2 linked regions of the Saccharomyces cerevisiae S288C genome follow. The protein of the gene in region 1 interacts with the protein of each later gene in a pairwise test. Each region holds a gene or a part of one and is shown in the gene's direction. Other genes may lie near its edges.

What was found. The genes of interacting proteins can lie anywhere in the genome.
Region 2: the proteins of IMH1 (region 1) and SMY1 interact in a two-hybrid assay, tested with the Saccharomyces cerevisiae proteins (2 studies listed by BioGRID, with this or other methods).

The regions. Positions count from the first base shown.
Region 1 is NC_001144.5:745,948-755,189, reverse strand, and holds IMH1 (Imh1p), read left to right. Parts: upstream 1-3,420; coding exon 3,421-6,156; downstream 6,157-9,242. Other genes in the region: Ras family guanine nucleotide exchange factor CDC25, read left to right, coding at 1-2,966; chitin deacetylase CDA2, read right to left, coding at 6,315-7,253; DPA10 (Dpa10p), read left to right, coding at 8,079-8,342; chitin deacetylase CDA1, read right to left, coding at 8,665-9,242. UniProt on the Saccharomyces cerevisiae protein: Involved in vesicular transport between an endosomal compartment and the Golgi apparatus.
Region 2 is NC_001143.9:284,925-291,249, forward strand, and holds SMY1 (Smy1p), read left to right. Parts: upstream 1-1,678; coding exon 1,679-3,649; downstream 3,650-6,325. Other genes in the region: VMA5 (H(+)-transporting V1 sector ATPase subunit C), read left to right, coding at 106-1,284; DHR2 (RNA helicase), read left to right, coding at 3,921-6,128. UniProt on the Saccharomyces cerevisiae protein: Possible microtubule-based motor that can interact or substitute with myosin 2 (MYO2).

The DNA.
Region 1 (9,242 bases):
CATTGACTCCAATGAGATCATCATTCAGTACAGTCAATGAGAACGATATGGAAAATTTCTCAGTCTTAGGTCCAAGAAATAGTGTTAATTCTGTCGTAACACCAAGGACTTCAATACAAAATTCTACTTTGGAAGATTTTTCACCGTCCAACAAAAATTTTAAGTCAGCTAAATCGATTTACGAAATGGTTGATGTGGAATTCTCGAAATTTTTAAGGCATGTTCAGTTACTTTATTTTGTGTTACAGAGCTCAGTCTTCTCAGATGATAATACTTTACCACAGTTGCTCCCAAGATTTTTTAAAGGTTCATTTAGCGGTGGTTCTTGGACAAATCCATTTTCGACTTTTATTACGGATGAATTTGGTAATGCGACAAAGAACAAAGCTGTCACATCTAATGAAGTGACCGCTTCGTCGTCCAAAAATTCCTCAATATCAAGGATTCCACCAAAGATGGCAGATGCTATTGCCTCTGCGTCAGGATATAGCGCTAATTCAGAAACAAATTCCCAAATTGATTTAAAAGCAAGCAGTGCCGCGTCTGGTTCAGTTTTTACACCTTTCAACCGTCCTTCTCATAACAGAACCTTTTCAAGAGCAAGAGTTTCAAAAAGGAAGAAAAAATATCCATTAACTGTAGACACTTTGAATACAATGAAGAAGAAATCCTCGCAAATTTTTGAAAAATTAAATAATGCTACAGGTGAACACTTAAAAATTATAAGTAAACCCAAAAGCAGAATTAGGAATTTGGAAATAAATTCAAGCACATACGAACAAATAAATCAGAATGTTTTACTATTGGAGATACTGGAGAATTTAGATCTGTCAATTTTCATCAATTTGAAAAACCTGATTAAGACACCCAGTATTTTGTTGGATTTGGAAAGCGAGGAATTTTTAGTTCACGCCATGTCTTCGGTCTCCTCAGTACTAACAGAGTTTTTTGATATAAAGCAGGCTTTTCATGACATCGTCATCAGATTAATAATGACAACGCAACAAACGACCTTAGACGACCCGTATTTGTTTTCCTCAATGAGGTCCAATTTCCCTGTCGGACATCATGAACCTTTCAAGAATATCTCTAATACACCTTTGGTCAAGGGCCCCTTCCATAAAAAAAATGAACAATTGGCACTCTCCTTATTTCACGTATTGGTGAGTCAAGATGTGGAGTTCAATAACCTTGAATTTTTAAACAACTCCGACGATTTTAAAGATGCTTGTGAAAAGTATGTCGAGATTTCTAATCTTGCGTGTATTATTGTTGATCAATTGATTGAAGAAAGAGAAAATTTGCTGAACTACGCAGCAAGAATGATGAAGAATAATTTGACTGCAGAACTATTGAAAGGTGAGCAAGAAAAATGGTTTGATATTTATTCCGAGGACTATAGTGATGACGATTCAGAAAATGATGAAGCTATCATCGATGACGAATTAGGATCTGAGGACTATATTGAACGCAAAGCTGCGAACATAGAGAAAAACCTTCCATGGTTTTTAACTTCAGATTATGAAACTAGTCTTGTCTATGACTCAAGAGGAAAAATTCGTGGCGGGACAAAAGAGGCACTGATTGAACATTTAACCAGTCATGAACTTGTTGATGCGGCTTTCAATGTTACAATGTTAATAACTTTCAGAAGTATATTAACCACAAGAGAGTTTTTTTATGCCCTGATTTACAGGTACAACTTGTATCCTCCTGAAGGGCTGAGTTACGATGATTACAATATTTGGATAGAAAAAAAGTCAAACCCGATTAAATGCCGTGTGGTCAACATTATGAGAACATTTTTGACGCAGTATTGGACAAGAAATTATTATGAACCTGGCATACCACTGATTCTAAATTTTGCCAAGATGGTTGTATCGGAGAAAATACCGGGGGCAGAGGATCTTTTGCAAAAGATAAATGAAAAACTGATAAATGAGAATGAGAAAGAACCAGTGGATCCTAAGCAACAAGATTCGGTATCGGCAGTCGTACAGACAACTAAACGTGACAATAAATCACCGATACACATGTCTTCGTCTTCTTTACCATCTTCTGCTTCTTCAGCGTTTTTTAGATTGAAGAAATTGAAGCTCTTGGATATTGACCCATACACATATGCCACACAATTGACTGTACTTGAACATGACTTATACCTCAGGATCACTATGTTTGAATGCTTGGATAGGGCATGGGGTACCAAGTATTGTAATATGGGTGGTTCTCCGAACATTACGAAATTTATAGCTAATGCTAATACGCTAACTAATTTTGTTTCTCATACCATTGTAAAACAGGCAGATGTCAAGACACGTTCAAAATTAACGCAATATTTTGTTACCGTTGCCCAGCATTGTAAAGAGTTGAATAATTTTTCTTCAATGACTGCCATAGTGTCCGCTTTGTATTCCTCCCCAATCTACCGACTGAAAAAGACATGGGATTTAGTTTCCACTGAGTCGAAGGACCTTCTGAAGAACCTAAACAACCTTATGGATTCCAAGAGAAATTTTGTGAAGTATAGAGAGCTGTTGCGATCCGTGACGGACGTTGCATGTGTTCCCTTTTTTGGTGTATACCTATCTGATTTAACATTTACGTTTGTCGGAAACCCAGATTTTCTTCACAATTCAACCAACATAATAAACTTCAGCAAGAGGACTAAAATCGCAAATATAGTGGAGGAAATTATAAGCTTTAAAAGATTCCATTACAAGCTGAAACGATTGGATGATATTCAGACCGTTATAGAAGCGTCTTTGGAAAATGTCCCCCACATTGAAAAGCAGTATCAATTATCACTGCAAGTGGAACCGAGATCAGGAAACACCAAAGGCAGTACGCATGCTTCTTCTGCTAGCGGTACAAAAACTGCAAAATTCCTAAGTGAATTTACAGATGATAAAAATGGCAATTTTTTGAAGCTAGGTAAGAAAAAACCTCCTTCTAGGTTATTTCGATAAAAGTTTATACAATTTGCTAATCAAGAAGAACCTTAGCTTTATGTTTGATTGCTACACTCTATTATTTAAGATGGCTGCTTTTACTTAATATTCTTCGTGATAATACTGTACTGGTGGAGTGTTTTTCGTTTTCGAGGATTTGAGAGTACGCTTCATTTGCAGTTCTTCTTGATAAAGTTCGTTTTATATATATATATCTATTTTATATCTTTATATATTTTATTACACCCAGTTAAGTTATCGATCCAAGATTTTAAATGCCCGATTAGAGGAAACTTATTACCTGAAAAAATATCAATTAGTGATTCTATGAAAAGCTATTACCCGCATTCTCATAGTTCGGATTTTCAGATCCAGCAATATAAGAGAACCAAATGTAGCAGAAACGTCAAATAGTAAGCAACAGGAGTTACATTTGAGGTGATTTTAACTTAGGGAAACATTTGCTGATTCAATGTTCAAACAGCTGTCACAAATTGGTAAGAATCTTACCGATGAATTAGCGAAGGGCTTAGCCGATGATATGAGCCCTACCCCGTCAGAACAACAAATCGAAGATGATAAGAGTGGCTTGCCAAAAGAAATACAAGCTAAATTAAGAAAATTTGAGAAATATGAACAAAAATACCCTTTGCTACTCTCCGCATACAAAAATGAAAAATTAAAGTCAGAGAAGTTAGAGGCTGTTGAAAAGATTTTAGCGGAAAATACACCCATATCTAATATTGACGACGCAGTGGATACGTTGCCAGCTTTTTTCCAGGATTTAAACAACAAAAATAACCTATTGAATGATGAGATCAAGAGATTAACTAAGCAGAACTCGGAAATTCCAGAAAGCGCCTCTAGTGAAACTCTGAAGGATAAAGAAGAGGAATTTTTGAAAAAAGAGCAAAATTATAAAAATGACATAGACGATCTAAAAAAAAAAATGGAAGCTTTAAACATAGAATTGGATACTGTACAAAAAGAAAAAAATGATACTGTTTCAGGTTTGAGAGAAAAAATAGTTGCACTGGAAAATATACTAAAGGAAGAAAGGGAGGCCAAAAAACAGAAAGAAGAAGTATCTATATCCGAACTGAAGGAAGAATTGGCTATAAAGAACCATTCTCTCGAGGACAGTCGAATGAAGATAACCGAATTGGAGCAAAATTTGTCTTCGAAAAGTACTATAATGGAGGAAAAGTCCTCAGAGTTGGCAGAACTAAATATTACTTTAAAAGAGAAAGAGCGCAAGCTGAGTGAATTGGAAAAAAAAATGAAGGAGTTACCGAAGGCGATATCTCATCAAAATGTAGGAAACAATAACAGAAGGAAAAAGAATAGAAACAAGGGAAAGAAAAATAAGGGAGGCATAACTACGGGTGATATCAGTGAAGAGGAAACGGTCGATAACTCAATCAATACTGAAGAATATGATAAGCTTAAAGAAAATTTGCAAGAATTACAAGAAAAATATAAAGATTGTGAAGATTGGAAGCAAAAGTATGAAGATATAGAAGCAGAACTAAAAGATGCTAAAGAATTGGAAAACTCACAGCTCGAAAAATCAGCAAAGGAGCTGGAAACCCTTAACACCGAGTTGATCGATACCAAGAAGTCATTGAAAGAAAAAAATTCGGAGCTAGAGGAGGTGAGAGATATGCTGAGGACTGTAGGCAATGAGCTTGTGGACGCAAAAGATGAGATTAAAGAGTCTTCGAGTAAACAAAATGAAGAAGTGAAAACCGTTAAGCTGGAGCTCGATGATTTACGCCATAAAAATGCAACGATGATCGAGGCCTACGAAGCTAAAAATACTGAGTTGAGAAGTAAGATAGAGTTATTGAGCAAGAAAGTAGAGCATCTGAAGAATTTATGTACAGAAAAGGAGAAAGAGCAGACTACATCGCAGAACAAGGTAGCCAAATTAAATGAGGAGATATCTCAACTTACCTACGAAAAATCAAACATAACAAAGGAGCTTACTTCTTTAAGAACCTCTTATAAACAAAAGGAAAAAACTGTGAGTTACTTGGAGGAACAAGTTAAACAATTTAGTGAGCAAAAGGACGTGGCTGAAAAATCCACAGAACAGCTGAGAAAAGATCATGCTAAAATTTCTAACAGATTAGACTTATTAAAAAAGGAAAATGAGACACTGCATAATGATATCGCAAAGAATTCTAATTCCTACGAGGAGTATTTGAAAGAAAATGGTAAATTATCGGAAAGATTGAATATTTTGCAAGAAAAATACAATACCTTGCAAAATGTAAAAAGTAATTCGAATGAACACATAGATTCTATCAAAAGACAATGTGAGGAACTAAATGTCAAGTTGAAGGAATCTACAAAAAAAATTTTATCTTTAGAAGATGAACTAAATGAATATGCTAATATTGTTCAAGACAAAACCAGAGAAGCTAACACATTGAGAAGGTTAGTTTCGGACAGTCAGACAGATGATTCGAGCAAACAAAAAGAGTTGGAGAATAAATTGGCCTATTTAACGGATGAAAAGAATAAATTGGAAGCAGAATTAGACTTACAAACATCCAGAAAGGCCACTGAATTACAAGAGTGGAAGCATACAGTAACTGAGCTGAAATCGGAAATACACGCTTTAAAGCTTCGTGAAGAGGGACTAAAATCAGAGGTTGACGCATTGAAACATGTTAACAATGACATCAAAAGGAAGACTCAAGCCACTTCAGATGATTCCGATCAGTTGGAACAGATCACATCTAATTTAAAACTCTCATTGTCTAAGGCTGATGAAAAGAATTTTGAGCTACAGTCTGCCAATGAGAAACTTCTGAATTTAAATAACGAACTTAACAAGAAATTTGATCGATTACTAAAAAATTATCGTTCATTGTCCTCTCAATTGAATGCTTTAAAGGAAAGACAATACAGTGACAAGTCAGGAAGAGTTAGTAGGTCTGGTTCTATCGGTACTCTAGCTAACGCGAATATTGATTCCTCACCAGCGAATAACTCTAATCCAACTAAATTAGAGAAGATACGATCATCAAGTTCATTGGAGTTAGACTCTGAGAAAAATGAAAAAATTGCATATATAAAAAATGTTTTGTTGGGATTTTTGGAGCACAAGGAACAACGGAACCAATTACTTCCTGTAATTTCTATGTTGTTACAACTGGACAGTACTGATGAAAAAAGACTGGTTATGTCTCTGAAGTAAAAATGTAGCTGAAAGCAGAAGATACGTATATATTGAAACAGTTTTTTTCTTCCTGAAATATATCAAGAAGTTGCTGCATGTCTATATATAAAATACTAAAGCAATTTCTTTTTAAATTGTAATTTAATTCTTCCTTATTTTCTTCAATTCCCTGAAAATTAGGACAAGAATTCTTTTATGTAATCAATTCCGCCGACACAATGAGAAACTGTTGATTGATCATCACCTATCAACTTATTTATTTTAATGGCAAGATCGACAGTTTTTTCCGTTGAATCGTGTTCTAATATTAATCCGGTTCCTGACTTGTTCCAGTTTATTACATTTTGAAGAATTTCTTGTTCAGTTATGACAGAATCATTGAGAAGGAGGCTCCAATCAAAAGTATCGTGATCCCATAAGACGGCTTGTAAGCCAAATTGCCTTGTTATTGCTCTTACTCTATTATCTATTCCGCCATATGGAGGTCTGAACCATTTGGGGGTATGGTTGCCAGTAGCATTCATCGCCCAGATGGACCATTCAATTTGAGCTATAATTTTTTCATTCGATACATTTGGCAAATATACGTGAGACCAGGTATGTGAGCCGATTAAGTGTCCCTCCTTTTGCATTCTTTGATAGATATCTGGATGTTGAACTATATTGACACCTAAATTGAAGAAGGTGGAATTATGCTTCAACCGGTCCAATAATTTAGTAGTGGAAGCAGAAGGACCATCGTCAAATGTCTGGGAAAGTTTGGAACATGTGTACACATCATCGTGTTCGGTGCAGTGATGGCAATCGAAAGAGCACGAGTCCCTTGGAACACTGTCGCAATGGTTTTGATCATATTCCTTATAATCTGGAATTTGACTGAAATCAATGAAATCTAAAGGTATATAAGGTGGATCTAACCCAGGCCATTCTTTTAACCCGGTAAATGCACTAAGCCAATCCGGAAAAGGCGTTTTTGTAGCTGCCCTTTCCAATACAGGAAATTGAAAGTCTATCTGCTTTAAATCTTCCCTATTAGCTTCCGCGTGAACAAATTGCCCCAGACAGGAAAGTGCAATAATACATTGCAAATCAATTGTATTTAGTTGTATTCTCATTTTCAATTGCCGATCCGTAGAAATAATAACAACTCTTTTGCAGTTTGTTTACCCACTGTGGGTTTTTGATAAATAATAGAGGATTACTGAAGGAGAGAGAATATTTTAAATGGATTTTGATAATACTACAAAAGAATAGCCAGTAATTTTTGCGTTGCGTCACAAAATCAAATATCTAGTTTGTTCCCTGACGCATGTTTCTCATGTGTTACCCGTCCTTTTGTAACCTTCACTGCTACAGCCGTACTATGTGGCATTTATGGGTTAATAGAAAGTTCCATTAATCCGACATTAAAATTGGATGGATTAATGGAGAACACAAAGGCAAAAAAACAATGGAAGAACAAAGAAAATTTAGCGGAAGTAAAAATAACAGCCGAAAGCCAAATTCAGGCTTATCTTGCCTACTCTTTCTTTTATCGAATTCCTTTAGGCCGTTGCAATAGAAAAGTAATAAAAACGCATATACGTAAGTTGTAGTCAGTGTAATTGCAATCTATTATGCGCATCAGGTGCGCATACTACATCCATTGGTGCACAAAAAAAGGAACGCAGACAAGAAAATTATTCAGTTTGCTGTTCGTGATGAGCCATCCCTGAATATGACTAATGTTAATGTTCAATTTGGGATCTTATTTTTTTTTGTGCAGTAATAAGAATCTTTGAAAAAAAACTATATAAGCCTATATAGTTTGTAAGATATAAGACAAAACACACCTGCTTTTCCACTACACATTTTCGTTATTATATAAAAAAGACAGCCAAGTATACTTGTCAACAAAATAAACTCATAGCAATTACACTATAAAAACAATAGCATCAAAAATGTCACTAAGAAACATATCAATGATCACAAAAAATTTGCAAACAACTGCCAAGTGTTATGTCCCAAAAAGTTCACCTACATCAACAACTATTCCGGTTATAAGGGATGCTAGTACTACTCAATGTCGCAGAATAACTACCGTCATCAATATTACGAGTCTGAAAGGATATTCTCCATCTCCAAGAACAGTTCATGATAAGCCAATTGTTATTTGCACTGACAACGAAGAGGTAGAGACTGTATCGGAGCACGTAAAAGTATAATTTGAATTAATCTACTCTTAACACTGTTCAAATGTACGTGTAACGTTTTGACGCTAAAAGATTCTAAAAAATTACTTTTTAAAGTTATACCCTCTGACTTTATGTGACATCAGCATCCTAAGTACCTACCGTTCATAATTTGACGCTTTTCCTTATACATTCAAGCATCGATATATATGATTTTTATATATGTCCTCTATTCTAATACATACTTTTTTACTTTTGAAATAACAAAATATTCTTTTTATTTTTGCGAGTTGAATAATTAAATAAGAGATCAAAGATATATAGAGAGAAACTTTATTTCTCGGAAATCTTACTTCTAGTCGTAGCGTTCGATGTAGTCTGTATCACCAATACATTCTGCAATTGTCAATTGGTCACTACCAATAAGTTCGTTGATTTTAATAGCAACCTCAACTGTTCTTCGTGCACCATCGTGCTCTAAGATCAAACCTTTCCGTTTTCCCTTCCAAGTATTTATGTCCATAAGTATTTCTTCCTCTGTTCTGAAATCATCATTAGTGATTAATTTCCAATCAAAAGTATCGAGATCCCACAAGACAACCGTTAGGCCAAACTGTTTTACTATAGCTCTAACCCTATTATCAATTGCACCGTATGGAGGCCTAAAATACTTGGGGAAATGTTTGCCTGTGGCATTCATAGCCCAAATTGACCATTCAATTTGGGCTACAATTTCTTCGTTTGATAAACTTGGCAAGAATTCATGTGACCACGTGTGTGTACCAATCAAATGACCCCTCTCTAAAATATGCTCATATATATCAGGATAATTAACAGTGTTTATCCCCAGAACAAAAAAAGTGGTTCTTTGTCTCAATTTCTTGAGCAATGCCTCTGTCGCCGGGGCCGGACCGTCGTCAAATGTTTGGGAAA
Region 2 (6,325 bases), on another chromosome or scaffold:
ACAGTGCTTTAGAAACACAAACAAAGGAGGTATATAGAAGTTGCAGTTGCTAGAGTTTGTTTTCTTACCTAATTCTAGATCAATTCTTTTTTCTGAAAAAAAAAAATGGCTACTGCGTTATATACTGCAAACGATTTCATATTAATCTCGTTGCCTCAAAATGCTCAACCTGTTACCGCCCCTGGCTCCAAAACTGATTCATGGTTCAATGAGACCTTAATCGGGGGTAGGGCATTTGTTTCTGATTTCAAAATTCCCGAATTCAAAATTGGCTCTTTAGACACATTGATAGTTGAATCGGAAGAACTGTCTAAAGTAGATAACCAAATTGGGGCTTCTATTGGCAAAATCATTGAAATTCTTCAAGGCCTCAACGAGACCAGCACCAATGCTTACAGGACTTTACCTATCAATAATATGCCAGTTCCTGAATACTTGGAAAATTTTCAATGGCAAACCAGAAAGTTCAAGTTAGATAAGTCTATCAAAGATTTGATAACATTGATTTCTAATGAATCTTCTCAATTAGACGCCGACGTCAGAGCTACTTATGCAAATTACAACAGCGCTAAAACTAACTTGGCTGCTGCTGAGAGAAAGAAGACGGGTGACCTTTCTGTCAGATCCTTGCATGATATTGTCAAGCCCGAAGACTTCGTTCTTAATTCTGAACATTTAACTACTGTTCTAGTAGCAGTTCCCAAAAGTTTAAAATCCGATTTCGAAAAATCGTACGAAACTTTATCCAAGAACGTTGTACCAGCATCTGCCAGCGTGATTGCAGAGGATGCTGAGTATGTTTTGTTCAATGTTCATTTGTTCAAGAAAAACGTTCAAGAATTCACAACAGCTGCTAGAGAGAAGAAATTCATTCCTCGTGAATTTAACTACTCGGAGGAATTAATTGACCAGTTGAAAAAAGAGCATGACTCTGCTGCCAGTTTAGAACAATCTTTGCGCGTCCAGTTGGTAAGATTGGCCAAGACAGCTTATGTCGATGTTTTTATAAATTGGTTCCACATCAAGGCCTTGAGAGTTTACGTGGAATCTGTTTTGCGTTACGGGTTGCCACCTCACTTTAACATCAAGATTATAGCTGTCCCACCAAAGAATCTCTCTAAATGCAAGTCTGAATTAATTGATGCTTTTGGATTTCTTGGTGGCAATGCCTTCATGAAGGATAAAAAAGGGAAAATTAACAAGCAAGATACTTCTCTTCACCAATATGCTTCTCTTGTCGACACAGAGTATGAACCATTTGTGATGTATATAATCAATTTATAATCGATTTATAATACTAACTTAGATTAATATATATTTCTGTTTTTTTTTTAGAATTTTCAACTTTTTTATTCATAGAGATAATACACTGTGATTGTGAATGTTTGAATAGTAATGGAACATAATCCGATAAAATATGCTTTTGATGAACGATTAGACATTTTTCAATTTTGTCGTTGAGTTCCAATCCTTCCTTATTTATGGTTAACAAGGAAAGAGGTGGAAGTTAAAAAAATGGAAATTAAAAAAAAAAAAAAATCAAAAAAAGAAAAATAAAAATAGAAAAATTGGCACGGAAATCTACAGGATTTAGCACTAGTAGGGGGTTTATTAAGCACTACAGGTCGACTTTAAACCAGAAAAAATTATCATTCAGGGTAGGTGCAAACTTGTTAAAATGCACTGGAATATAATTTCGAAAGAGCAAAGTAGCTCTTCTGTATCGTTACCAACTCTAGACAGCAGTGAACCCTGTCACATCGAAGTTATCCTCAGGGCGATACCCGAAAAAGGATTACAAAACAATGAGTCGACCTTCAAAATAGACCCATATGAAAATACTGTGCTATTTCGCACAAACAATCCGTTACATGAGACAACCAAGGAGACCCATTCAACATTTCAATTCGATAAGGTATTCGATGCTAACGCCACTCAAGAAGATGTTCAGAAATTTCTGGTGCATCCAATAATAAATGATGTTTTGAATGGTTATAACGGTACTGTAATAACATATGGACCAAGTTTCAGCGGAAAGTCCTATTCCCTTATTGGATCAAAAGAAAGCGAAGGAATTCTACCGAACATATGCAAGACCTTGTTTGATACGCTAGAAAAAAATGAAGAAACAAAGGGAGATAGTTTTAGCGTAAGTGTTTTGGCATTCGAAATATATATGGAGAAAACGTATGACTTATTGGTACCTTTACCTGAAAGAAAACCATTAAAGCTTCACCGTTCTTCAAGCAAAATGGACTTAGAAATCAAAGATATTTGTCCGGCACATGTCGGATCGTATGAAGACTTAAGAAGCTACATTCAGGCAGTCCAAAACGTCGGCAATAGGATGGCATGTGGCGACAAGACAGAGAGATCAAGATCACACCTAGTTTTTCAATTACACGTAGAACAAAGGAATAGAAAAGATGATATATTAAAAAATAGTTCTTTATATCTGGTTGATTTACACGGGGCAGAGAAGTTCGATAAAAGAACTGAAAGTACGCTATCACAAGATGCGTTAAAAAAATTAAACCAATCTATTGAGGCGTTGAAAAACACTGTGCGGTCCTTGTCAATGAAAGAGCGTGATTCAGCCTACAGCGCAAAAGGATCACATAGTTCTGCTTACCGTGAATCGCAATTAACTGAAGTGTTAAAAGATTCCCTTGGGGGAAATAGGAAAACAAAGGTGATATTGACATGTTTCTTAAGTAATGTTCCAACTACCCTATCAACACTAGAATTTGGTGACAGTATTAGACAGATCAATAACAAGGTTACAGATAACACCACAGGTTTAAATCTGAAAAAAAAAATGGATCTATTTATTCAGGACATGAAAATTAAGGATGATAATTATGTTGCCCAAATTAATATACTAAAGGCTGAAATAGACTCTTTAAAAAGCCTTCACAATAAATCTCTTCCCGAAGACGACGAGAAAAAAATGTTAGAAAATACAAAGAAAGAAAATATCAAACTAAAGCTTCAATTAGACAGTATTACCCAATTATTGAGTAGTTCTACCAATGAAGATCCTAACAATCGTATTGACGAAGAAGTTTCTGAAATATTAACGAAAAGATGCGAACAGATTGCTCAGCTTGAGTTATCTTTTGATCGACAGATGAATTCCAATTCTAAGTTGCAGCAAGAGTTAGAATACAAAAAGTCAAAAGAGGAAGCCTTAGAGTCTATGAACGTTAGGCTACTAGAACAAATTCAGCTTCAGGAAAGAGAGATTCAAGAGCTTTTAACTACTAACGCCATCTTAAAGGGTGAACTAGAAACTCACACTAAACTTACTGAAACACGCAGTGAAAGGATAAAATCTTTGGAAAGTTCTGTCAAAGAGCTTTCTCTTAATAAATCTGCAATCCCATCTCCTAGAAGAGGGTCTATGAGCTCGTCATCAGGAAATACTATGTTGCATATCGAGGAGGGTTCTGAAATATCAAATAGCCCTTGGTCAGCCAATACTTCCTCAAAACCTTTAGTATGGGGCGCGAGAAAGGTTTCTTCTAGCAGTATAGCAACCACTGGATCACAGGAGTCTTTTGTGGCAAGACCGTTCAAGAAGGGATTAAACCTCCATTCGATAAAAGTCACTTCGAGTACTCCAAAAAGTCCCTCTTCTGGAAGCTGACTATAATTAAGTTCGATAATTGTACGATACAACTGTGTAGTATCTTTGTAATTATAATCATGATGATAACGCTAATAATTTGTACGTATAATGCTGACTGAAAGATGTACTTTTCTTCTACCGTTTTTCTTCGGCGGCTATTCGTTTACAATGATTTGGAAAAATGAGAAAAATTGAAAATAAAAAATTCTGCTCGATGAGATGAGATGAGGTTATGATATATATGTAAGAATTCCTCAAGAAGAGGTTGCAAGAGTCTGCAGACATTATCATGGCAGCAAATAGCAATAGTAGAGTTGCATCAAACCATACTTCTAAAAAACAAAAGGTTAGGAGGAATATACATCCATTCACGAATAACACTCGGATTAAAAGAGCTAGTAAAATCGTAAAGTTTAATGATTCAGGCGAGGGCGACCATGTTTCAGACCAACGTTCGAACAAGGAAAATGTCCTTACTTATAAATCTTTGAAAAGTCGGGCAAGCGATTTACTCAAAATGAGAGAAACACTTCCCGTTTACCAACACAAGCGAGAAATAATGTCATATATTGAAAGCAATCCCGTTACCGTCCTTATTGGTGAAACAGGTTCTGGTAAATCAACACAAATTCCGCAATTCGTATTAGAAAAATTATATGATACGAAGAAGCATGGGTCGATTGCTGTAACTCAACCCCGTCGTGTTGCGGCCATCAATTTGGCTACACGTGTTGCTCAAGAACATGGTTGCAAACTGGGTGAACAAGTAGGTTATTCTGTCAGATTTGACAATACGACTACTACAAGAACAAGACTTAAGTATCTGACTGACGGTATGTTACTTAGAGAACTTATGATGAATAGTGACCTTAGAGAATACAGCGTCATCGTTATCGATGAAGCGCATGAAAGAACTGTGCTTACAGATTTGATATTGGGGTTCTTAAAATCCTTGATACAAGGGCCAAGACCTGATTTGAGAATAATTGTTATGTCTGCAACATTGCAAGCCGAAAAATTTAGTGAGTTCTTCAATAATGCCCCAATCTTATTTGTAGAAGGAAGAAAATTTGATGTCAAACAATACTACTTGAAGGCGCCAACAGATGATATAGTAGACGCTGTCATCAGGTGTTGTATACAAATAAACCAAGGTGAAGAACTGGGAGATATCTTATGTTTTTTACCGGGCCAAGAAGAGATTGACAAAGCAGTGACTATAATGGAGAAAATTGCAAAGTATGTTTCAGATGAGGCCCCAGTACCATTAATAGTTCCTTATCCTTTATATGCAGCTCTTCCCGCGGTCCAACAGTCCTTGGTCTTCGCTCCGATAAAGGGTTTCAAGAGAAAAGTCGTCTTTAGTACCAATATTGCAGAAACATCTGTTACCATATCCGGTGTTAAATTTGTCGTTGATTCTGGTCTTCGAAAAGTCAAAGTTTGGAGACATCAGCTGGGATTAGCCACTCTACTTACCGTACCCATTTCTCAGGCAAGTGCGATGCAGAGAAGTGGTCGTGCTGGTAGAGAAAGTGAAGGAAAGAGTTTCAGGCTTTATTGTGAGTCTGATTATGTGAAATTACCTAAACAAAGTGAACCTGAAATAGCCAGAAGTGACGTCACATCTCCTGTGTTAATGTTGAAGAGATATGGTGTTGATGACCTGCTAAACTGGACCTGGTTTGAGAACCCTGGAAAGGAAGCTATAGTAATGGGGCTTCAGGAACTTTATGAATTGGGTGCTCTTGACACTCGTGGAAAGATAACTAAACGGGGTCAACAAATGGCTCTGTTACCGCTACAACCGCATTTAAGTAGTGTCTTAATTAAAGCCAGTGAAGTCGGATGTTTGAGTCAGGTCATTGATATCGTCTCTTGCCTTAGTGTGGAAAATTTACTGTTGAATCCGTCACCAGAAGAAAGAGATGAGGTGAACGAGCGTCGTTTGTCCTTATGCAACGCTGGTAAAAGGTATGGTGACCTTATCATGCTGAAAGAGCTTTTTGATATCTATTTCTACGAACTAGGGAAAAGTCAAGATGCAAGCTCTGAAAGAAATGATTGGTGTAAAGGATTGTGTATTTCGATACGTGGGTTTAAAAATGTAATTCGTGTCAGAGACCAGTTAAGAGTTTATTGTAAGCGTTTGTTTTCTTCAATCAGTGAAGAGGATGAAGAATCCAAAAAGATTGGTGAAGATGGCGAGCTAATTTCGAAAATTTTAAAGTGTTTCTTAACTGGGTTTATCAAGAATACAGCTATAGGGATGCCAGACAGGTCTTATAGAACTGTTTCCACTGGAGAGCCGATAAGCATTCATCCATCATCTATGCTATTTATGAATAAAAGCTGCCCCGGTATAATGTACACGGAGTATGTCTTTACTACGAAGGGATATGCCAGAAATGTTAGTAGGATTGAACTTTCATGGTTACAAGAAGTTGTCACTAATGCAGCCGCTGTAGCAAAGCAAAAAGTTTCTGATTCAAAATAAGTCACCTACTCTTAGCGCATTTTTATTGTATATAAAGGCATTTAATGTAATTTATAGAGCATTATAAATCGTAACAACTACTGCAGTATGAGTTTCATGGATTCATTTCTCAATATCTTATGAATATACACAGGTATATATGTATATTCATGTTAAACGCCTTTCGAATTGTTCGTTGGCTTTTTTTGTGAAATTAT